Saccharomyces cerevisiae S288C: one gene and its partners. The gene in region 2 interacts genetically with the main gene of each other region. Each region holds a gene or a part of one and is shown on either strand. Other genes may lie near its edges.

Evidence for each region.
Region 1: of SNF2 (region 2) and RAD26, a mutation in one rescues a mutant of the other (synthetic rescue), as found in Saccharomyces cerevisiae (one study listed by BioGRID).
Region 3: of SNF2 (region 2) and GAL3, changing one enhances a phenotype caused by changing the other (phenotypic enhancement), as found in Saccharomyces cerevisiae (one study listed by BioGRID).
Region 4: mutations in SNF2 (region 2) and RNA14 impair growth when combined (synthetic growth defect), as found in Saccharomyces cerevisiae (2 studies listed by BioGRID, with this or other methods).

What each region holds. Positions count from the first base shown.
Region 1 is NC_001142.9:494,859-501,507, reverse strand, and holds RAD26 (DNA-dependent ATPase RAD26), read right to left. Parts: upstream 4,154-6,649; coding exon 896-4,153; downstream 1-895. Other genes in the region: putative E3 ubiquitin-protein ligase HUL4, read left to right, coding at 1-795; PET191 (Pet191p), read right to left, coding at 4,499-4,825; RAV1 (Rav1p), read left to right, coding at 5,057-6,649. UniProt on the Saccharomyces cerevisiae protein: May be involved in the preferential repair of active genes.
Region 2 is NC_001147.6:854,034-862,393, forward strand, and holds SNF2 (SWI/SNF catalytic subunit SNF2), read right to left. Parts: upstream 6,226-8,360; coding exon 1,114-6,225; downstream 1-1,113. Other genes in the region: YOR289W (uncharacterized protein), read left to right, coding at 1-79; YPK9 (putative acid anhydride hydrolase), read left to right, coding at 7,142-8,360. UniProt on the Saccharomyces cerevisiae protein: Involved in transcriptional activation. Catalytic component of the SWI/SNF complex, an ATP-dependent chromatin-remodeling complex, which is required for the positive and negative regulation of gene expression of a large number of genes.
Region 3 is NC_001136.10:461,107-465,755, reverse strand, and holds GAL3 (transcriptional regulator GAL3), read right to left. Parts: upstream 2,323-4,649; coding exon 760-2,322; downstream 1-759. Other genes in the region: YDR010C (uncharacterized protein), read left to right, coding at 373-705; phosphoribosylanthranilate isomerase TRP1, read right to left, coding at 3,240-3,914; SOK1 (Sok1p), read left to right, coding at 4,509-4,649.
Region 4 is NC_001145.3:390,286-395,541, reverse strand, and holds RNA14 (cleavage polyadenylation factor subunit RNA14), read right to left. Parts: upstream 2,788-5,256; coding exon 754-2,787; downstream 1-753. Other genes in the region: ARG7 (glutamate N-acetyltransferase), read left to right, coding at 1-488; SAM complex subunit SAM37, read left to right, coding at 3,027-4,010; SEN15 (Sen15p), read right to left, coding at 4,057-4,443; ferroxidase FET3, read right to left, coding at 4,810-5,256. UniProt on the Saccharomyces cerevisiae protein: Component of the cleavage factor IA (CFIA) complex, which is involved in the endonucleolytic cleavage during polyadenylation-dependent pre-mRNA 3'-end formation and cooperates with the cleavage factor NAB4/CFIB and the cleavage and polyadenylation factor (CPF) complex.

The DNA of each region.
Region 1 (6,649 bases), on a different chromosome or scaffold from region 2:
AGTACCATATTAGATTTACAATTTCCAAAGGCGCTTTATAAAAAACTATGCTCAGAGCCTCTGAGTTTTGAAGATTACTCGGAATTGTTTCCGGAGACAAGTAGGAACTTAATAAAAATGCTCAATTACACAGAGGATAATTTCGAAGACGTCTTTTCTTTAACATTTGAGACTACGTATCGAAATAACAACTGGATTTTAAATGACAGTAAATCGAGCAAAGAGTATGTAACGGTAGAATTATGTGAAAATGGCAGAAATGTGCCAATAACCCAAAGTAACAAGCATGAGTTTGTCATGAAATGGGTAGAATTTTATCTGGAAAAGTCCATTGAGCCACAATACAATAAATTTGTTTCAGGTTTTAAAAGGGTCTTCGCAGAATGCAATTCTATAAAATTATTTAATTCTGAAGAGCTGGAGAGATTAGTGTGTGGTGATGAGGAACAAACTAAATTTGATTTCAAATCGTTAAGATCCGTGACAAAGTATGTAGGTGGCTTCTCCGATGATTCCAGAGCGGTTTGCTGGTTTTGGGAAATTATTGAAAGTTGGGACTATCCATTGCAGAAGAAATTATTACAATTCGTAACGGCATCTGATCGTATACCTGCAACGGGTATCTCTACTATCCCATTCAAAATTAGCTTGCTAGGGTCGCATGATAGTGATGATTTGCCATTGGCTCATACATGTTTTAATGAAATATGTTTATGGAATTATTCCTCGAAAAAAAAACTAGAACTGAAATTACTTTGGGCAATTAATGAATCTGAAGGTTACGGGTTCCGCTAAGAGTCTTCAGAATATACATATACACATAACACATACATATTTTTTATAGATATTTCTATGGGTAAAGTTACGTCAAGGGTACTCTGTCCATTCTAAGTTTTCATGAAGCATTGTTATTCCTAAATTCTTCATCAAGCACCCACCCTTTACGCTCTTTATCAAACTGTGCTATGGTTTTTAATAATGCTCTAACCTTAATAACGTCTTCTTTATCAGAAAGACTGACGCCAATGCTGTTAAGTATGCTAACACTAGATGAGAAAAAGTTATTCTGTTTCTGTAAATATGCCCGAATATTTTCTAGCGTTTTGGTATTGGAATTGATTTCCTTGGATCTTGCGAAGGTTATACCATCGTCGTAATTTTCTTGGCGAGCTTCCTTGGATGCCTCTTTTTGTGATTTTGTAATATTGCCTAAAATGGCAGCTGATCCAGTTAATTTATTTTTCAACGGATCTCTCTTTCTAATTTTACCTGCTTTACCAAACCTACCTGTCCAAGTAGGTGTCCCAATTTCATATTGCTTAGTGATCTTTTTTCTCGATTTCCTTAGCGCATTAACCGCCTCAATCGCTACTCTGGAAGCCTCTTTTGTAATTATATTCGAAGAAGAACTGCCCGCGTGCGAATTGACAACCGAATCATGACTCATAACGGTTTCTAAATTGCTCTCTCCTCCTAGCAACCCTTCGATTAATCTATCATCCTCTGTTTTACTATTCTCTTTTTTTTCCTTACCGTTATAAAAGCTTTCTAGTTTAGATACGCCAGATAGGTTGACCAGTTGTTCAAAATCGTCACTTTCCTCTGATTTGGAATTTTTTAAATTTTCGGTATGTTTTTGAACTTCTTCGTTCAATTCTTCTGTAGAATAACCGTTTTCACCCCCCAGTGAAAACAGATCATGGAGTTCGTGAATTTTGAAAAATCGTTTCTGCTTAGGATCAGTCAAAATCCTGTTGGTTAAGAATTGTTTGAATATTTGTCTATGATAAATCTTCTCCTCTATTGAACCTCCTACCATCAACCTATATATTGATACCTCTCTTTTCTGCCCAATCCTCCATGCCCTTTCTCGAGCTTGCATGTCAGTAGATGGGTTCCAGTCTGGATCAAAAATGATAATTCTATTAGCACCGGTTAAATTAACACCTAGCCCCCCAACTCTTGTGGTTAGTAAGAATACATCGAAAGATTCATTGTTAAACCGGTCAACTAACGACTGTCTCCCTTTGATATTAGTTGTCCCATCCATTCGTAGGTAGTTCAAATGTGATAAATCGGGATCTTTCGTTGATATAAACTCCTCTAGAATATCGAGCATTTGTCTCGATTGAGTGAAGAGTAGGGCTTTATAGCCCTGCTTATGCCACAGTAATAATAATTGCTTGACAACCTGCATTTTTCCGGATCTTTTAGGATCACCGTAATCTGGATTATGTCTCTTTGTATCTCTGTCAAGTAAATCGGGGTGATTACATATTTTCCTTAGAATGTCGATACCAAATAGAACATTTCTCTTACCGTTTTGTATTTGGTTTAAATCTGAAGAATGCAGAAACTCCAAATATTTGCTTCTTTGATATTTCGTAAGCTTACAAAAGAGAACCATTTCTTTCTTTTGTGGCAGATCTTTTGCAACATCAGCTTTCACACGACGTAACAGGTACGGTGAAATCAAGTCACGCAATGCAACAGCACATTTGTAGCCGGTCTGAACTTGTATGTTTGTTGCGTTTGCATAACCACCAATATTTATAGGTATGACAAACTGTTGTTGAAACACAGGTAGAGTTCCTAATTTACCAGGGAAAATGAAATCAAAAAGCGACCAAAGCTCGGTTAAATTATTCTGTATCGGTGTTCCTGAAAGAATGATCCTATTATGTGTCTTCAGTTTTTTGCAAGTCAATGAAATCTCCGAATCTGGGTTTCTAATCTTATGTCCCTCATCTAAAACAGCATACTGCCATTTAACTTTTAGTAGCTTATCTGAATGTATTCTTAACCCAACGTACGTGGTAATTAAAATGTGCCCATCAGTAACGACTTTATCTATCAACTTATCTAAATGATAGCTTGATTCCAATGCCTTCTTTGTCCTTGTTGAGTTCTTCCAATCCTCGTAAGAAAAATCACTTGGCTTTGAATTCATTATCAAGTTCTCTAGATCGTTTTCATCCATCTTAAATTTTTGGTCAGAAGCCATTCCTGAACCCATTGAGTGCAATATGACCGTCCTCAATGGAGGCCACCAATGCTGGAACTCATTACACCATTGCTTCATCACAGTTGCAGGACAGACAATTAATACAGGGCCTGTTAATAGACCTGAATGATGCAACGCTGCGATAAATGCGATAACTTGAATCGTTTTTCCCAGACCCATTTCGTCACCAATAATACCGCCACAGTTCTGCTGGTAAAGCTCATAGAGCCACTGAACGCACGTCTTTTGGTAATTAAATAACAGCGAGTATATTTCACCGGGTATTTTGAACTGGCTATTAAGTTTTGCGTCGGGAATATTCGGATGAGGTCTTCGCCATTCTGGCAAGTCCGATGACCTTTGACTACCGCAAGAACGTTGTTTCACCCATTTTTTTAACCTTTCTTGATAATACAACTCGTCCCCATCATCCTTCGCCTCACCAGGTTGGCCTCTGAACCGCAGGTCTTCCAGTTCTTTGAGAATTTTATCGTCATTTTCTTCTTCTTCGTCATCTTCACTCTCTTTACCACTCATTTGATAGTCTTGATCGCTGAGATTGTCATCCTCATCCGTTAAATTTTCTACCATTTGTTCTGTTGCCATTTCAAAATCCTCATCTTTTTGTTCGTCATTCTTGGCATACTCTCTGTTTGCAGTGTCCAAGCTGAAACCAGCCTTGTGTCCAAATGCAGTGATCTTACCAGTCCTGATTAAAAACTCCTTCTCAGTTTCACCGGGTCTCTGCAGCCCCTCTTTGGAACCTTTATTTTCAGCACCTTGATCTACCTGCTCTTTCAACTCTTTAATCCTTGATTGGATATCGTCTATGTCCTTCAGAACTCGTTCAATATCGTCTGATTGTAAGTTCTTGATCTGGTCTCGGAGATTCTGCTTAACAGATATCCTAGTGGTATTGTTCAACTTCCTTGTGAGATGATTCTTCTTATTGACATAACGTTGCAGAGCGGTCTTACTCCGTTCTAGACGAGTCTCTTCTTGCTGCAGCGATTGTAGGTTGCTAAAGTTAGTTACATCATTAGCTATTTTTTCCTCCAAACTGCTTTGGGAAAGCACGTTAACTCCCAGATCTTTTAGTGACTCATTGTTTTCAAGTTTCGCATTGTCTTGCTGCTCTTTATCTTCCATCACTGATGTATGTTTCTCTGAGCAATGTTATATATATATATATATATATATTATCAAACCTCTTCCCTTCTTTTTTTTTCTTCCACTTTTATTGCATCGCCCTTAACTGAAATGAAGCTAAGGTATAAATTTGTACTTAGACTGATTATAATTTCTACTTACGGAACTTGTTAAGTGCATTTTTATTGTTCTACCCTCTATTTTTTAAATGTAATGTTCTTGAATACGCTACATGCGTATATATATATATATATATTGTAAGAGGATTACTGGACAAACCGAATAAAAGAGCTTGACGCATATATTTATTTATGTATATATTTACAGGCCAATTTTCATAAATAATCAGTCCTTCTGCTGGCTGTTCAGAAGTTTTAGCTTTTCCATCTCCTCCCTCGGATCAAACTTTCCTTTGCACAAGTTTTCGTACTGTTGATCGTACTTGCCAGTCGACAGAGGTGCGTTACCTGTGAACCGCTTAGTCATGTCGACGATTCCTCGCTTACAATCCAAAAATGCTTTCATCTGAGCAATACAAAGTTCGGGCAGATCCTTATTCAGCTCTGGATTGTCAAGACATTCTTGAGGGTTATGTCTCTCTATCATGACACAGGGCGATCTCTGCAAACATATAGCGACAGCCTTCTTCTGATCTTTACAACTAGCTACCATTCTTTGATATCTACAAACGCACTGCAAATTTATTTGTGTCTATTCTGTTCCGATTAATTGTTATGGCAGCCTTTTAATATACTATCCCTCTTTCTTTAAAGCTGCCCGCATAGCGAAACCTCGTTATGTTATTGTTTCAAGCACTTCAGTTTTTTTAATAATTAAAGGGATCTAAGAACACCGCAAACAATTGAGAAAGTAAACAAACGTGCACACGCAAAGGTAGTTCTCATGTCATTGAACTTTCTTCCAGGACGCCCCAATGCTACCCCTCAGACAGCTTGTCAAGCAACATGGCAAAATCATACCATCTTTGCATATTGTTCAGGGAATAATTTAATCATACTTACCAACAAATTCACTAGGTTACAGACCATATATACACAATCAGACTGTACTGCGGTCGATATTAACAGCCAGAATGGATTCATTGCCCTTTCCTTCCACAATAGGGTGCTCATCTACAAGCCCATTCATCAAATTATGCAGAATCCCAAGTGGACCCAATGTTGCCAGTTGTTCCATGATGACACGCCAGTAAACTGCCTAAGATGGTCTTCTGATAATGAGTTAGCCATTGGATCTGATTTTCTTTCTTTTTGGAAAATTAAGGATAATTTTGGTGTGTATCAACCTATTTTGCAGTGGAACCAAAAACAGCCTAAACCTGTTTATAATGTGATTATATCACAAGATTCGCAGCTGATAGTCAGTATTGGGAAGTACGACTGTAATGCTAAACTATGGAAGCGTGTTTCAATAGTCGGAGAACAAGCCATCTTTAACCTTACTATGTTGCCTCATCCGAAACCTATAACTGCAATGCGGTGGAAAAAAGAGCCAGACCAGGTGAGTAAAAACAACACTGCCTCTCATGCTCTTTATACGCTGTGTGAAGATAAAGTTCTGAGAATATGGTCTTGTTTTGAAATGGAGAAAAACCATACTGTGCAAATATGGGGTGAAGTGCCTCTTTCCCCCACGCAGAAGTTCTGCGTGATAATAGACAATTGGATCATTAGGCAAACTCTCAGTGTGAAAGACTCGGAAATCTTTGATATATCTGACTCAGACATTGTTATTCTGGGTTCAATGACTGGGGAAATGGAAGTTTTGGCTTTGAATAATCTTTCCCAAGATCCTCCAAAACCAATGACTAAAAAGACCATTTCCCATAAAAAAGTCAAGAAAGCAACTATGCTAAACGATACAAGATATTTGTACCTCCCCGAAATACAACCCTATGACAATGTGAAGGGCAAACTTTCTTTTCTCGTCCACGATTTACAAGGTGTAATCAGACATTTACTAATCGACATTCTGCAGCTTATAAACAATAAAACCGAAGATCTGAGTGCCGCTTTAGAGCACAAATTTACGGGACATAACAAATCTGTGCAGAAGTTGGTAAGAAGCAGCGACGGCGAAGCTTTATTAACCACTTCGAGATTCTCAGAAAATGGCGTTTGGTACCCACAAAAGTTAAACCATGGGGTTTCACTGCGGTTACAAAATACAATACAAACAGAATCTCCCATAAAATTTGCAGTTGTACATGAGTTGGGTAAACAGGTCATCTGTCTTCTCGAAAATGGGGCTTTACAAGCCTGGGAATGTCCAACGAATCGTAAGGAGGACAGTGAACAGAAGCAATCATATTTACGTGTGGAAACGAGACTGAAAGAGGAGAAAAAAATCCATCCAATAGTTATGTTAAATACACCTGAGCCAAAGCATAGTCATGAGCGTCATTTCACCGCGTTAATATTCTCTGATGGTTCAATCAAAGCTTTTGAAGTCTCTTTAACACGTGGTATTTTTGAA
Region 2 (8,360 bases):
AGTAATAAGGTACGAGGGCAAAAAAAGTTCCATAACTTATGAGGAATTTAACAAACAGTTAAAAGATATAGAGGCTTAGAAAATAACCCTCGTTAGTTAGTCTTAGAAACATTAAAAAAAATATGCTTTTATACATTGATCAAGCTTAAAAATTGGACGCAACCGGAATCGAACCGATGACCTCTTCCTTGCAAGGGAAGCGCGCTACCAACTGCGCCATGTGCCCTGATGACTGTTGAAACTGTTGTATCTCAAAATGAGATATGTCAGTATGACAATACGTCATCCTGAACGTTCATAAAACACATATGAAACAACCTTATAACAAAGCGAACAACATGAGACAAAACCCGTCCTTCCTTAGCTGAACTACCCAAAAGTATAAATGCCTGAACAATTAGTTTAGATCCGAGATTCCGCGCTTCCACCACTTAGTATGATTCATATTTTATATAATATATAAGATAAGTAACATTCCGTGAATTAATCTGATAAACTGTTTTGACAACTGGTTACTTCCCTAAGACTGTTATATTAGGATTGTCAAGACACTCCGGTATTACTCGAGCCCGTAATACAACAGAAACTCATTTCTAATGAGTGGTAAATACATTTGTGGGAAATATCTTTAAGGCCATCTCGGACCTGTATATAATCTCCGAGTATTTCCATTAAAGATGAATCAAATACATGAAATATCTATTAAAGACATATACTCAAGGAAAAGAAGTAGTAGATATATCTTCTTTATATATATTGCCCTGTGTTGCTAGCAGGGTGTTGGAACAAATAATTTGTTCCGTATTGGAAAATTTATAATTAGGTCCAAGAACAAGTTCACTATGATGACGACATATTACTTTGTTCAAAGAGATGGTTTAAAATAAATATGTATAGCAGAATTATAAGAGGCGAAATCGATCAATTAGTTGAACAATTAACTTAAAATCTAATATATATAAATATATATATATATATATATAGGAAATATACGGCACGTTATACTAGAGATATTAAACATCCCAACTCGGTTAATGGGTACAATAAAAAAAAGAGGGATTAATGTTTGTCTACGTATAAACGAATAAGTACTTATATTGCTTTAGGAAGGTACTATACACTCGCTTCTGTCATGCTCGAGTCCGCTTCATCTGTGAAAGATTCAGCCACGCTTGAAGTAACAACAGGAGGCAAGACGAGGGGTCTGGTGCCATACTGTTCATCAAATTCAGTAAAGTCGAGTTGTGAGTTATCGCCCATTATCTCACAGTATTTCTTCGTAACCACTTTTTCCAGTTCTAAAGAGTCTTCGTATACTACTGAACCCTCAGTATTGTATATCCTAGCATTGGAAAATATCAGATGAAAGTCTTGAAGGGTCTCTTTAAGGGAGTTGTAAGCTAGCGTTTCAATATGCGTGTTAATATTATCAAAGGCGACAGGGTACTTAATAATCATATAGTAGTCGGGATATAGTGCTTTGGAAGGTTTGGAGAGGAAAATGTCAGAAAGTTTCCTTCCAGCTTCATTTTCATAATTGAGAGCAAAGTGGTATAAGTCTAGAGCTTGTTTAGCAACTTTCTCTCTAATATCAATAGGACTCGTTGCCGCAGCGGGCGTGCGGACATAATCAAGCCCATTTCTTGCTTTTGGCGGCCTTCCTCGTCCACGTCCTCGCCCTCGACCACGACCACGACCGCGACCACGGCCCCTTGTTGAAGTTCTTGCTGATTTAACAGATGTTTTTCCCGCTGTACGTGGTTTTGGAATGTCCATAAAATCCTCACTGGGAGAGTTATCGCCAGTAACTGGACTTGATTCAAGCGCTGGTGGTTCAGAATTTTCAGATCCTTCAAGTTTCACTTTCTTAGGTCTTCCACGGGGCCTTCCTGCCTTTCTCTTTTTAGACAAGAAATCATCGTCATTCATTGCCAAATCCGTATCTGCCCGATCTTCGGCCGATATATTATTAATTCTAGGACCGTCATTATCAGCGTCAATGTTTTCGCCTTTAATTTCTCCATTCCCATCAATCGCCTCGCTCTTATCTTCCTTCTTTGTTCGTTGTTTTCTTGCCTGCTTGTCATTTTTTTCATCATCGCTAACTTCAAATTGTCTTAACCACTGTTCTTCAGACATATTATCGTTGTAAGTTGCCGTCTTACGTTCTCTTGCACCCCTTCCATTGTAAACAGCAGCAGATTCTGATTCTTCACGTTTGAGCTCGGCACCAATATCTCTACTGTAAATATCAGGTAATTCACTCTTTTCTAAGAGACGGCTCTTTACTCCCAATTCTTCCTCCTTCTTTGATCTATCTTCATCCATCCTTGTAAGAACAGCCATTTCTTCGTCATTTCGAGCAAGAATTTCGTTGATTTCTGAGTCTTTTAACTCCTCTTCTTCTTCAACACCAGACTCTCTTTTCTTTCTACGTTCCTCTTCTGCATCCAGCAAAGATCTAAGCAACGCTTCTTGTTCCTCCGATGTAGATTTGTTATCGAATTTACCTGCTTGAATGACTTTACCATCGATATCTAGCTTCTTGTAGGCTCTCTCTAGGATAACTTCTTCAACTGAATTCGTAGTAATCAATCTTAGAATTCTAACTTCATTCTTCTGACCTATTCTATGCGCTCTATCCTGAGCTTGCAAATCTTGATGAGGATTCCAGTCAGTATCAAAAATAATGACAGTGTCTGCAGTTTGTAAATTTAAACCCAAACCACCCGCTCTAGTTGATAAGATAAAGCACAAGTATTCAGAATCAGGGGCGTTAAATAGACGTAACAACTCACTACGTTCATCAGATTTTGTATGACCATCTAACCTCAGGTACTTGATATTAATGTACCTTAAAAAATCTTCCATAATATCCATAATTTGGGTCATTTGAAAAAAAATTAATACTCTATGCCCAGTTGCCTTAAGCTTAGGCAAAATTCTATCTAATAGTTCAAATTTACCAGCAACACGCCAAATATCATCATTCGTTTCTCTTGTTGGATTGATTTGGTCCTCAACTTCTTCAAATACAAAAGGATGATTACAGATTTTCTTTAGTTGCATGATTTGATTATTGAAACCTCTTAAACCTACCATTTTCTTATTATTTTGATCACCGATAAAAAGACGACGATATTTCAACATTTGTTGGTACATAATTTGTTGTAAAGCGCTCATTTTGCACTTCACTACCTTCTCAACTTTATCCGGTAATTCTTTTTCTACATCCTTTTTCAAACGACGCAATAAAAAGGGTCTCAAGACTTTATGCAATCTCCTGATAACCAAAAGCGTCTCTTCTTCACTCAACTCAATTTTATCTTGCCCACCGGTGTTGGCAAAGGGTGTATTGAACCATTCATCAAAAGATTTCACGGAATTGAAAATCTTGGGTAACACAAAATTCAATAAGGCCCATAATTCTGGCAAGTTGTTTTGAAGTGGTGTACCTGTCAAAATTAATCTATAATCTGCATGGTAATGTGTGTTCAAGGTTAAAGAAAGCTTGGATTGCGCATTTTTCATTCTATGGCCTTCATCAATAATCATATGGACCCACTTGACCTTGGATAAAAGTGCTCTTTCTTTAATAATATACTCAAAGGTAGTCAGAACTACATCAAATTCACCTGCCCTTATTTTAGCCTGTTTGGCTTTCCTCTCATTTGGCGAACCTTTAAATGATATAGTTCTTAAGGTAGGAGCCCATTTCGCGAATTCACTGCTCCAATTTGACAGTGTAGATAAAGGAACAATGACTAAATATGGCCCACGAATATTCTTCATTTCATATAAATATGTAAGTAAGGATATCGTCTGGATAGTCTTACCAAGACCCATTTCGTCTGCTAAAATACCATTTAAATGATTATTGAAAAGCGAAACCATCCACTGTAAACCCTTGATTTGATAGTCCTTTAAGGTACCACCAACCAATATTGAAGGCTGCTTCTTGATATCTTCTTTAATTCTATGTGCGACATTGTAATAATCGACGTTAGAATTGTCGTCGTCGTCATCATATTCTTCATCCTTCATCTTGGGGACCATGGACAAATCATCCACTTCCTCCGATGCTTCCTTTATGTGGGAATCAATCATTTCTTTAGTGTACTTTTGTTGATCTTTCACGGCTCTTGTTAAAGAATCTAAAAATGCGTTTGTTTGCCTTAGAAGATGTGTAATTCTTGTATCTTTGGTTTGGTCTAATAATTTTATATAGGCTTCCTCATCGTTCGCCTTTAAAGCCTGTAAACGTTCTTTTGCCTTTTTTTCAGCTCTCTTTTGCTCATCCCTTTCTAAATTAGTATGCGTAGCAATGAGTCTATGGCCAAACTTCAACCTTTTATTCTTTTTATCTTGTCTTCTATTATATTGATTGATGGCGGATTTATTCATCGACTTTAATCTGGCCACTGCCTCAGTCTTCTTCCTTTCTAACTTAAGTAATTCATGATTCTTATAAAGTTGGTTTGTTAGCAATGCATCTTGAACGTTGATGTTTCTTATTTTCGAAAGAAAATTTGGATGTGTATTGGTTAATAAAGAATTTTGATGCCATTCAAATTGTAATACATGACCTCTTACGGCTTTTTGTAACGGTAATAATTGTAAGGCGTAGTAATCGTAAAGAGCATTTTCCCTGGTTGATTCCGTACATTCGTCATTTAGTAGCTTATCCAAACAGTCATTTACCGTAGTATCTAGGTTCAATGCAATTAAAGTTTGGTAAATGTCAGTAGCGGTATGTGTGTCAATACCAACCGGTAGAACGCCAGGTTCAATAGTAAACTTTGCATGATCCGAATTGGCCAATAAAGTCTGATAATCGATATTACTATGTGAGATATTGGGCATCGTAAAAGAATCAACCATCATATCAGGATCATCTATATCTACCACTTTTATTCCTTCCTTATATTGATCTTGAAGGACGTTTAAAGGAACGGGTTTCTGCGGTTTTGGCGGGTTATTTTGCTCGGTGTGGGTCTTATTACTATTAGGAGCTGTTTTAGCTACGTTTGAAATGGTTTCGTTTTCCTCTTTTTTCGATTCTGTTTGCGTGATTGGAGTGCCACTTACAGTTTGCGAATTTTTATCGAGGGTGCCATTCTTCGCATTATGTACACTAGATGGACCAGCTGGTGAAACAGATGCAAAATTTTCGTCTTTGCTATCTAAAGGTGCATTTCTGGTAAGCCCAGAAACGTTGTCAGTGTTAGTGTTATTGTAGTGGGAATTGGTGCCGGGTTGCTGCGTATTGTTGCCGCCATTGAGATTTGATTGGTTATTTTGATCTGTGGGTTGTCTTCTTCTCGCAAACTCACTCAAAGACAGTAACATTCTTTTGAAATCTGGAGGATGGTTAATAGATTTTTGGATAACAGCCTGAAATTCAAACGGAATAGGCTTTCTATTTACTAGACATTTTAGAGATGTGATTTGGGCCTTTAACAGTTCGGATTGCTCGGCAGTAAACATTGTCATGGGTAATCTTCTCCCCTGTTGCAGTCTCGCTTGTGCTTGTTGTGCCTGTTGTGCCTGTTGCGCTTGTTGCGCCTGTTGTGCTTGGAATTGTGCCTGCTGCATCTGCGCCTGCTGGGGCATAGGAGAATTTATCTGCGAACCTGGCATCACATTTGAATCCTGTATGTTGTGTTCTTGTAATGATCGATTTTGCGGTTGAAGCTCGGAATTATTAAGGTTTAAGTTATTATGGTTTGAGTTATCTGGTTTCTCCGCAGCATTTTCTCCATTGTTTGCTGGTGTTGGTGAAAAATTAGTTGCATTTAATGAACCAACCGAAGATTGCCGTTGTGGTAGCATGTTATTACCACCATTGCTATTTAATGGCATCTGTGTTTGCATGATTGGTGATTGATGAGCAGAAGTGCTAAAGGTCTCATTTCCATTCAATTGCATATTCGGAGCTAAATGCGGGGAAGCAGAAGCAGAAATGTGCGAGGAAGCATTATTCGGCAGTTCTGCTTGATCTGAAGAATTTGGAACAATATTTTGCTGAGAACCTGAAATGCCTTGCTGTTGGCGTTGCATTTGTAATTCTTGTCGCTGCTTGGCAGCAAATTGCAACACTTTAGTCAAATAGATAAATTCCGGCACACTCGGAGCGTTCATTCCGTGTTCATTTCTCAAATGCTGCCATCTTAAATAGCAGCGGTTGACCTCTTCGTTGCTAAATTGACGCTGTGGTATGTTCATGGCAGATAATTAATCGAAAGTCGTGAAAATAGCAGAAAGTCGCGATTAGAGAAACAACAGAATAGCTGACCTTCCCGATGATTTATATACAAAAGGTCCACGTACGTCACAAATATCTTCTTTATTGAGACTAGAGGTAACCTTTCTTTTAACTTATTGTCCTACCGCCTCAGGATGGCCCCGTTTCGTCAATCAATTTGTTGATATTTGTCTTTCAAACGCGGTTTTAACATATCGCGAACAACGGTATTCGGGTAACAGCCTATCACTATTTTTACCGGCGGCTATTTTTCCTAAACCTAGTATATATACGCGAAAATTGGCTACCTGCAAAATTCCAATAGTGGCGAATGTATTGGAATTAATCTGCAAGGAAAATAAGCGTTAGGAACTTCAACTGTATTTTGCTCACTAATTCTTCTTCATCATGTCTTCTTCTTTTTTTTTCAATTACTTGTTAGTTCTTAGTGTCCTTATGTTCACTCAGAATAGCCATTAAGAATCGTGTCTTTTTGGAAGTGAAGGAGTTTCAATAAAAAGAAAAAAGCGAATATTTCAACACTGTGTTCTAAGAAAAGGCTCTATAGCTTTTTTTATTAGTTTTATTAATTTGAAAAATGCCTTGTTTGTTTTATATATATATATGTGTGTATTTAGGGCAGCCGCGGCCAACAGGGGGTATGGGTATGAAGAGGTGATAGAAGAGTGAAAAATGAAAAAAAATGGAAATCAAGGAAAGAGTAGTGAAAAAAAGAAAAAAAGGAAAAAAGGGCAAAAAGAGAACGCAATACCATAGAGTTGGAGGTGTTGGACTTGTGAATTTATTTTTGATTGAAAATAGTTCAGAGTCAATAGATTCTTCTTTAAAATAAAAAGGAGCCCAGACTTACTGATAGATCTTGCATATACTCCGGTAATGGATATTCCCTCTTCAAACCAAATTCAACATGGCCAAAGGAGTGAAAGGAACCGAAGAATGCCGAGGGCTTCTTTTTCTTCTACAGCCACTACTTCTACGGCGGCCACATTGACTTCCGCGATGGTACTGGATCAGAACAATTCGGAACCGTACGCAGGTGCAACATTCGAAGCCGTGCCAAGTTCTATTGTATCATTCCATCACCCTCATTCTTTTCAATCAAGCAACCTCCCAAGTCCGCATTCTTCAGGGAACCTAGAGCAGAGAGGCCGCCGATTGACTGAATCAGAGCCTTTAGTATTATCCTCGGCTGAACAGTCTCGAAGCTCTTCTAGAAACCCTTCTCATTTTCGATTTTTCACTCAGGAGCAAATATCCAATGCTGAAGGCGCTTCCACGTTAGAAAATACAGATTATGACATGGCCTGGGATGCCACCCCCGCTTATGAACAAGATAGAATCTATGGTACGGGCCTATCTTCCAGGCGTTCTTCTATTCGAAGTTTTTCCAGAGCATCATCTCTCTCAAATGCAAAGTCTTATGGATCTTTCAGTAAGAGGGGTCGCTCTGGTTCAAGGGCACCACAAAGGCTGGGAGAAAATTCTGACACTGGGTTCGTTTATCATTCCGCTACACATTCATCATCCAGTTTATCGAGATATACGACCAGAGAAAGAATTCCTATTGAACTAGAAAGTCAAACAGATGAAATACTAGAAGACGAGTCTTCTACACATTCTTTAGAATCTTCAGATAGTAGGCGATCTGCAAGCGAAAATAATAGAGGAAGCTTTTCTGGTCATGATGATGTTCATAATCAGCATAGCGAATATCTAAAACCTGACTATCATGAAAAGTTTTATCCACAGTATGCACCAAACTTGCATTACCAAAGGTTTTACATTGCGGAAGAGGATTTAGTTATTGGTATCGCTGCTTACCAGACCTCAAAATTCTGGTATATTATTTACAACCTGTGCTGCTTCTTGACTTTCGGATTAGTTTATCTTTTAACGAGATGGCTTCCCCATCTCAAAGTTAAATTATATGGCGTGAAAGTGCCATTGGCTAAAGCAGAATGGGTCGTGATAGAAAATGAGTTTGGTGAGTTTGTCATACAACCTATCGATCGACAGTGGTATAATAGACCATTAAGTACTGTTTTACCTTTTGAAAATTACCCTAATCCGTCATATGAACCAAATGATATCAATT
Region 3 (4,649 bases), on a different chromosome or scaffold from region 2:
TCAATGTTGAAGACGATGGATGCACTGAGAATGTAATGCACTGGTGATATAGTAACTCCTATATCCTACAGTGAGCTTTTTTTTTTTTGACCTCGCAACACTTCAACTTGAAAAACAAAAGATACAAATACACTAGGTTCGTATATATTGTTTTCGTTAGGTATTTATTTATCTACAAGCATATACAAGCATAAAAAGTGGTGAGGCGATAGCGGTGAGGGAGGGGCACTACTCATCATTTGTTTTATATGTTGATGTTGCGTAGTCACTATTAGTAATACCAATACCCAGCGGGGTTGCAGGGAATACAATGGAAAGACCTAAAGAAAATAGAAAACGGATTTAAACGGAAATGGGCGGACATTTAGTCATATGTGCGCGGAACCAGACGACTGGGAAAGGATCGAAAGGCATCCGCGGAAACTTAAAATAGCTCCGCGGATGCTAGATTTCTACGAGTCATACATAGTCTGGCGTGAAGGTAATTTTTTTTTATGTCTCCGTTCTTTTCCAAATGGGGTGATCCGTGGAGGGCGGTGCTTCTTTCGCGCCACTTCCTTGCCGTGGAAAAATGTGTACGGTTACCATGGTCACATAACCTCTGTGTGCGGAGCCACTCTGACTCGCATCAACCGGGCTATGGTTGCATCGGATGCTGGAATGGGTTCTATTGGACTCACCAACTTGTTTCTTTATAGAGTGTAAGAGGTATGAGTAAACTTTTAATATTTAAAGGTTGTTCCAAGAAGGTGTTTAGTGTTATTGTTCGTACAAACAAGTACCCAAGGCAGGCTTCGAAACTATAATTGCGTCTTTTAGTTCTTCATCTGTGAGATCCGGATATCTTACATTGTAGAATTTTTCGATTAGTGCTTTTCGTACCTGTTCCACGTTCCCATTAGCGCCACTAGGAACAAGGTGGATAGTGCAACCGCCCCAACCAGCGCCAGTGAGACGGGAGCCGAAAGAACCATTTGCTAGGGCAATCGAGCATATTTGATTGGTTTCTATGCACGAACATTCATAAAGTTTATCACAAGAGGCCTGGGACTCATTCATTAGTCGGCCAAAATCTGTAAAGAAATCTTCGTCCGTGTGAAAAGTGGCACTTGTCATCATTTTTAAAGCCTTAAGCACCCTTAAGGATTCGGAGTAAACGTGTTTAGCTCTTTGATATAGTTTCAAGACTTGGAAGCGGACGGGAAAAGTTGTCAGGTAATCTCTAGTGAACTCCTCACGTGAACAGTTTAGCGCCGTAGAGGCTTCATGTACAGTGAATCCGCTCTTTTTCCTCGAGAAAGATTCTTCTACCAATTGTAGCATCTTGAGTAAACGTTCAATACCAGTTCCGATATCTCCATTCCATGGTTGGGCTTGGTTTTCGTATCTGGCGTAGTAAGCATCCATAAAATCTCTTAGATTCCCTCTTTCTGAGTTAGAATTGTCCTTGTGAGATGGTAAGGCCACGCTGTATCTGGTCGCCAAGGCGTTGGCAGCAACTGTTACCTCTATTACTCTTAAATTGTAATTTGTAGGAGCAGTTTCGAATTTATTAGACTTTACAAGAGTATTGGCGATGACGAAACTGATTTCATGATTTTTCAATTGAGGAAACTTGAAAGGTGTGGCCTTTAGTTTTGGCCTAAACTCTACGTATAGAGCATGATCTTCTTCCCCATAAACAGACGTTGCTTGATCCATACCACCATTATTGACTCCAACATAGTGCTCAGCAACCGCTGTGATGCGGGTCAAGTCTTTTTTGGAAATATCAAAATTTTTTCCCATATTGGCTCTAATTGTGGCTAGTGCTGCCGCGCAAGTAAATGCAGATGAGAGTCCACCACCAGTAGGAATATCGCTCTGGCAAAAGATCTGCGCACCTACTAAGGGTGTATTATTAAATCTTTCCGGAGCAATTTTTTTCAAGTATGAATGTGCCACATGTAGTCCGCATTTAAAGTAATTCGACCATTCCGACACAGACGGATCTATGGCCATGTAGGAACCATCTAAAGGCAGATCAAACTTTCGCTGAGCAAATTTAGGGTCCGCATTTGTTAAGGTAATGGATGGATTTTTTTCGTCTAAAATTTTAACTGCGCAAAGCATATCCACATCAATGGCTAATGGCAAAACTGAAAAATCGCAATAATCTATATGCTCACCAATCAGATTTACTCTGCCAGGAGACCTAGCGATAAAATCAGGTTTGACATGGTATGTTTGGAAAAATGCATCTACAACCGCTAAATGTTTTTGTTCGAAAGACCTTGGTAAATCTCTGACCGGAGAACTGAATATTGGAACGTTTGTATTCATACTATGTGTTGCCCTACCTTTTTACTTTTATTTTCTCTTTTTGCACTCCTGATTCCGCTAATAGGAAGTATGAATACCTGGGGTTGTCAATGTGGTAACAAAGGTGTTGCCTCACTTGTCGCTTATGATGATTATATACGTTTCAGTAAAAATTTTACTGCCTATGTGTTGCAGGCGGTCAATCAATTGCATAAAAGACCGTGTGATGGCTTGGCATGGCGATTTCATTCTTTCAAGAATTCCACATGTTAAAATAGTGAAGGAGCATGTTCGGCACACAGTGGACCGAACGTGGGGTAAGTGCACTAGGGTCCGGTTAAACGGATCTCGCATTGATGAGGCAACGCTAATTATCAACATATAGATTGTTATCTATCTGCATGAACACGAAATCTTTACTTGACGACTTGAGGCTGATGGTGTTTATGCAAAGAAACCACTGTGTTTAATATGTGTCACTGTTTGATATTACTGTCAGCGTAGAAGATAATAGTAAAAGCGGTTAATAAGTGTATTTGAGATAAGTGTGATAAAGTTTTTACAGCGAAAAGACGATAAATACAAGAAAATGATTACGAGGATACGGAGAGAGGTATGTACATGTGTATTTATATACTAAGCTGCCGGCGGTTGTTTGCAAGACCGAGAAAAGGCTAGCAAGAATCGGGTCATTGTAGCGTATGCGCCTGTGAACATTCTCTTCAACAAGTTTGATTCCATTGCGGTGAAATGGTAAAAGTCAACCCCCTGCGATGTATATTTTCCTGTACAATCAATCAAAAAGCCAAATGATTTAGCATTATCTTTACATCTTGTTATTTTACAGATTTTATGTTTAGATCTTTTATGCTTGCTTTTCAAAAGGCCTGCAGGCAAGTGCACAAACAATACTTAAATAAATACTACTCAGTAATAACCTATTTCTTAGCATTTTTGACGAAATTTGCTATTTTGTTAGAGTCTTTTACACCATTTGTCTCCACACCTCCGCTTACATCAACACCAATAACGCCATTTAATCTAAGCGCATCACCAACATTTTCTGGCGTCAGTCCACCAGCTAACATAAAATGTAAGCTTTCGGGGCTCTCTTGCCTTCCAACCCAGTCAGAAATCGAGTTCCAATCCAAAAGTTCACCTGTCCCACCTGCTTCTGAATCAAACAAGGGAATAAACGAATGAGGTTTCTGTGAAGCTGCACTGAGTAGTATGTTGCAGTCTTTTGGAAATACGAGTCTTTTAATAACTGGCAAACCGAGGAACTCTTGGTATTCTTGCCACGACTCATCTCCATGCAGTTGGACGATATCAATGCCGTAATCATTGACCAGAGCCAAAACATCCTCCTTAGGTTGATTACGAAACACGCCAACCAAGTATTTCGGAGTGCCTGAACTATTTTTATATGCTTTTACAAGACTTGAAATTTTCCTTGCAATAACCGGGTCAATTGTTCTCTTTCTATTGGGCACACATATAATACCCAGCAAGTCAGCATCGGAATCTAGAGCACATTCTGCGGCCTCTGTGCTCTGCAAGCCGCAAACTTTCACCAATGGACCAGAACTACCTGTGAAATTAATAACAGACATACTCCAAGCTGCCTTTGTGTGCTTAATCACGTATACTCACGTGCTCAATAGTCACCAATGCCCTCCCTCTTGGCCCTCTCCTTTTCTTTTTTCGACCGAATTCTTAATCGGCAAAAAAAGAAAAGCTCCGGATCAAGATTGTACGTAAGGTGACAAGCTATTTTTCAATAAAGAATATCTTCCACTACTGCCATCTGGCGTCATAACTGCAAAGTACACATATATTACGATGCTGTTCTATTAAATGCTTCCTATATTATATATATAGTAATGTCGTTAACCGTTGATTTTTACTGATTGGTCTCTGCCGTGCGGGTGAGCGGCGCGTCCAGACGGGCGGGTGCACGTTTCTTTTTCTGACCATTTCCCTGTCAGCTCTTTTAGATCGGGGCTGCCGTTTGAAAAGTTTTATCATCGCCAGACATGCCATAAGGAATATCTCCACCGCCTCTAACTGTCCCTAACTCGGTCTCTTTCTTATAACTACCATTACTCAGTGTTGAGAGATTGGTAGAAATATACGCGTATACGTTCATTCAAGACTTATTTTCAGCCAGTAATATTCCCTACTCCTCTTCCGTTTTCAGAATAGAGATGGACCAGCCAAGGACCCATTCAGGACCCACGACGGCCAGCAATCCTGCCCCCAGCTCCACCAACTCGTCATCTGCTCCCAGCGCGACTAATTCAAAGCAGGAAAGATCCTCTTCGTCACTGTCCAAACCTTCGTCAGTG
Region 4 (5,256 bases), on a different chromosome or scaffold from region 2:
AAGTAAAATTGCAGGTCACAGAATTTGCTCAGCGCTTGGCCCAGTTAGTCGTTCGCGATGGTGAAGGTTCGACAAAGTTTGTTACTGTTAACGTTAAAAATGCTTTGCATTTTGAAGACGCCAAAATAATTGCTGAATCAATCTCAAACTCTATGTTGGTCAAAACCGCACTATATGGGCAAGATGCCAATTGGGGAAGAATATTGTGCGCGATCGGGTATGCAAAGCTGAATGACTTAAAATCTCTAGATGTCAACAAAATTAATGTTAGCTTTATTGCTACCGACAATTCAGAACCTCGTGAGCTGAAGCTTGTCGCTAATGGTGTGCCACAATTGGAGATCGATGAAACAAGGGCTTCTGAAATATTGGCTTTGAATGATTTGGAAGTGTCTGTCGACTTGGGAACCGGTGATCAGGCAGCACAATTTTGGACTTGTGATTTATCACATGAATATGTAACAATTAACGGTGATTACCGTTCATAAATTCATGTATATTTTGTTCAATCTTTCTTTTATAAGCATGGTTATATAAACGCACAGAAACAGAGTGTTTCCTGTACCTTCTGAATGAGTTTGGCTATTGCCATATTTTTGAAAGAATTAACTATTTCCGTTTTTATTTATGTACGAGGCACCTTAACTATCCTGTCACATCGTTTTTTTTTTACTTAATTACATACAGAGGTTCGCCTATTATAATAGATGTGTTGGTATAAATATTCATATATACCTATTTATTAACGTAATGTTAACCTGACTTGGTGCTCTCAACTGTTGGAATCTCTACTTGATCATTTAAAAAATTCACCAATTTCTGCGCATCGAGTAAATTTGTATTAAAATATTGACGTTTTGGTATAACGCTCAATAAATCAAGAACCTCTGTTGGAAGCTCTGAGTCTCTTTTGAATTTCTTATTGGAGAAGTTTCCATTGTTTCCAGTTTCCTCCATTAGTCTCTTTCTATCTGACGAACTCATATTGTAAGAGCCATGATGGCCATCCCCGTTTCCAGAAGAAAAGTAACTGTCTTCTTCCTCATTATACATATAAGTTAACTCTAATTTCTTTATTAAGTTGGAGTTTTGAATTTGATAACGACTTGTGAAAACTTCAATCAAATTTTCTTGGGGGAACCGTTCGAAAAATCTTTTCTCTAGAGAATAAACGTTGTTTAAGTTACCGAATTTCGATTCATAACTTATCATTTTCTTGTATATTTCCTTCAGCTGGGTTAAATCTTGCACTTTTTCCACTGATGTTTCAAATAAGGTTTTGATCTGCGAATCCTTATTTAAAAATATTAAAAAATCTAAGTATTTGTTGATATAAACTCCATCGTTTTGGAAGTATTTTAAACCCAATTCTAAAACCTTAAAAGCAGTCTTATAATCGTTTTGATTTTGAAATTCTAAATATGCATTTTCCACGTAGACGTCATGTGTTAATATACGCTTCAGTTTACGACATTTACCAAATACAGTACGTGCTGCGGATAGTCCTGATATTCTTTTCATCGTATTCATATACACGCAAAACACGAATGTTAATTTTTCCCTCTGTTTGTATAGCAGCTCTTGTTCATACTCTGTGTTATTATCTTCACCCGAATTTACATCGGAGGCGATCTTTTTATACTGCGATAGTAAAGTTTGAGTGCACTTGTCAAAACAGTTAGAAACACTTTCAGAATCATTATCCAGTTCGTAGCATTCGGATAACTTGAATGTAAGAGAAGGTGAGTCGGGATTAGCTAATAACGCAGTATATAAGATATTTTGTCGATCCGAATTTTCAGATATATACATTGAATAATCGTACCACATTTCAGCAGAAAATATCATGTATTGAATACCTTGTTTATAAACGTAACTGATTCTTTGTGATAGCATATCTTCACTAAGCATCAACTTATTCTCCCTTTCCCATTTTATCCAATTCAACCAAATCTGTAACTGCTGAATGTTTGAGTCTGAGGTACCTGGTTGTGGTATGTTTTTCTTGTTTGCTGTGCGCAGATTAATTGGAGATGCCCTTTTCAATCCATTAGTAACGTTCAACCATTCCTGGTATAAGGAACGGGCTTTCATGTATTCGGCTGATAACTCGCCAATAAATTTTCTGGCTGTTAGGGAATTTATTTCTTGTTCCCATTGAGTGTATCTATTCCACATTTTTTCTAGATTATCAAAAGGAACACATAGCATTTTCTTGTAGAATTCTCTGAGCATGTCAATTCGCTGTTGCTCCTCCCATTTGTTGAATGGCTTCCACTGCTCTAAAAAATTGAGATATTCGTTCCAAAAAGAAGATGATTTGGGTTCAAAAATTGCACACTTTTGCATAACTAGTTGGAATGCCTTGACAATAACAGCTCTCGCCTCTTGTCCACCAGTAATTAAGTTGTTTTTTCTGCGTATGTAGTCCAAATATGTTGACCAAAGAGATAGGTCATTATTTTCCAACTTGCCAGAAAGACATTGAGCCAAAATCTTCTCAACAGTCTCAAATTCATCTCTTGCCAATTCACCCTTTAGTTGCAAAGTCCACGCAGGTGAATAAAACGGGAATGTGTTATGAAATTGCTCGTATACTTCTCTCACCTTAGCGTATGACTCTTGAGTTTCCAAATATTGAATAAGCTGGAAGTATGATAAAATATTCGTGGGATTGTCTTTAATCCTTTCTCTAAGTCGTAGTTCATCTCCATGTATATTGTCACTAGGCTCTGCGACTTTGTCCGCAGAGGGATATAGTAAATCAGGAGTCGTAGAGCTGGACATATCTCTTGTTTGACTCTCCAGTTTGGCCTTTTATTTCGTTGTAGAATACTCTTTCATCACACAAGCTACACTTTTCTTCTTAATTATTACAAGGTAACCGACAATTTTGTCACGATTGTTATCATTTTAAACGAAGTGGGAAATGTAATAAGAAATAAGCTATTTAGAATGGCTACTATTTAATGCTGGAATTTGTATTTTTCAAATAAACGCAAAGCAAGGCTATTATCGAGTCAGTAATGGTTAAAGGTAGTGTGCATTTATGGGGAAAGGATGGCAAAGCATCGTTGATTTCAGTGGACAGCATTGCGCTTGTATGGTTTATCAAGTTATGTACTTCAGAAGAGGCAAAGAGTATGGTTGCGGGATTGCAGATCGTATTCTCAAACAATACAGACCTATCATCAGATGGAAAACTACCAGTGTTAATTTTAGATAATGGAACGAAAGTATCTGGTTACGTGAACATCGTACAATTCTTACATAAAAATATATGTACTAGCAAATATGAGAAAGGTACGGATTATGAAGAAGATTTAGCAATTGTTAGAAAAAAGGATCGCCTTTTAGAGTATTCCCTATTGAATTATGTTGACGTTGAAATTTCCAGACTAACGGACTACCAGCTCTTTTTGAACACCAAAAATTACAATGAATATACCAAGAAGTTGTTTTCAAAATTGCTATATTTTCCTATGTGGTATAATACGCCATTGCAACTAAGATCGCAAGCACGTGAAAATTGTGAGGAGATTATAGGCTCACTGACCCTTGAGGATGATGAAGAATTTGTAGAAAGTAAAGCAATGGAGTCAGCCTCGCAACTAGCACAATCAAAGACCTTCAAAATTGCGCATAAGAACAAAATTAAGGGTAAGCAAGAGCTACAACAGGTGAAATATAATCTTCAATTTGATAATAGACTACAGAGTTGCGTCAGCAATTGGTTGGCTGCCCGTAAAAAACTGGATGATTCTGTAATACTTTCCTCCGACCTTCTTTTCCTTGCAAATCTTTACGTTCAGTTAGGCCTACCTGATGGTAACCGCATCCGTTCAAAACTGGAACAAACCTTTGGAAGTGAATTATTGAATAGTATGTCGAACAAAATTGATGACTTCGTCCATAGACCAAGTAATAACTTGGAGCAAAGAGATCCTCAATTTAGAGAGCAAGGAAACGTTGTGATGTCATTATATAATTTAGCCTGTAAATACATATAATAAAAATAAACAAAATAATGCAGAAAGGTGTCTTTAAGTTCATTTTTCAATTTCTTTTCGGTTTTCGTACTCCTTTATAAACGAAGTAATAAACAATTGTACCATCATCGTTAATTATGGCCAGCAGTATTCTTTCAGTAGATGGACTACATAAGTGAGTAAATGTCTGGCTCAAGCATTCCAAAGTGAGAAAATTCTCTTTGTACTGTGACATATTGATGGGTAATATGAACTCTAGCGGGCGTGGCGATGACAAGCTATTTTCATGCTCTGTGTCTACATCGTTGCTCAGCTTGTGAGGCGGACGACCTCTCAGTAATCTCAGGCTATTTCCCTTCCATGATAAATCGTCTTGTAAAATTTCCACTTCCGTCCACATTTGGAAATAGAGTAAATTATTTTTTACTAGAGATATGATATCTGTCGTTGCCATTCTTATTTTCCTCAACCTCCTCGACGTAATTTCTCTTCGACAATTTATTATATCTTTCATATATTTCTGATGACTTTTTCATTTTCACTTTTTTTCAACCCATAACGGCTTTTTGTTCAAAAGAAACTGATCATGTCATCGATTAAAAGTAAAAGTATGCACATCAGCCTCGTGACAGATGAGGATCTCATGTCAAAAACCGCCAAGAAGCATGCATTATTGAATTTGAAACGTGGTAGATTATTAAGTATATGTCTATGTAATATTAAGTAAGACAAGGGCATTCACTTTACATGCAAATGCATTTGGAACCCTTGACCGAAAAAAAAAAAACAGGTTAACCGCAAAATACATGATCTTCCTTTATTAGAAGAACCGTTTGGCTTTAGTTAAAAATTGATGCTTTTCAGTGGAATGACGATCTTCGTTTACCTGACGCTCTTCATTTTCATCAACCTCATTTAGCAAGACTTCAGGGTCCACGTGCAAGTCTCGAATAACCTTTTCGGTCGCATCTTCCATATCCATCATACCATAAATTGCAATTGTGATAATACCAAGAATACCGGCAAAGCAGGAGAATGTCATGGCAATAATACCTTTTTTGGTAAAACCGGTAGGAATGAAGGCATGCTGAACATTTTCACCAGTTAAATCAGTTAAATCCAGTGTATTGGCAGCGGCGTTACCTTCAGTGGCCACAGAGCAACTCTGGCAAACTTCTAAGTGGTTTTCACTGAGTTGTTGAGAATGAGCATCTTGGATACCAAAAGGATCCTCCACGAGAACAAGACCCAAACCTTGCAACAAATG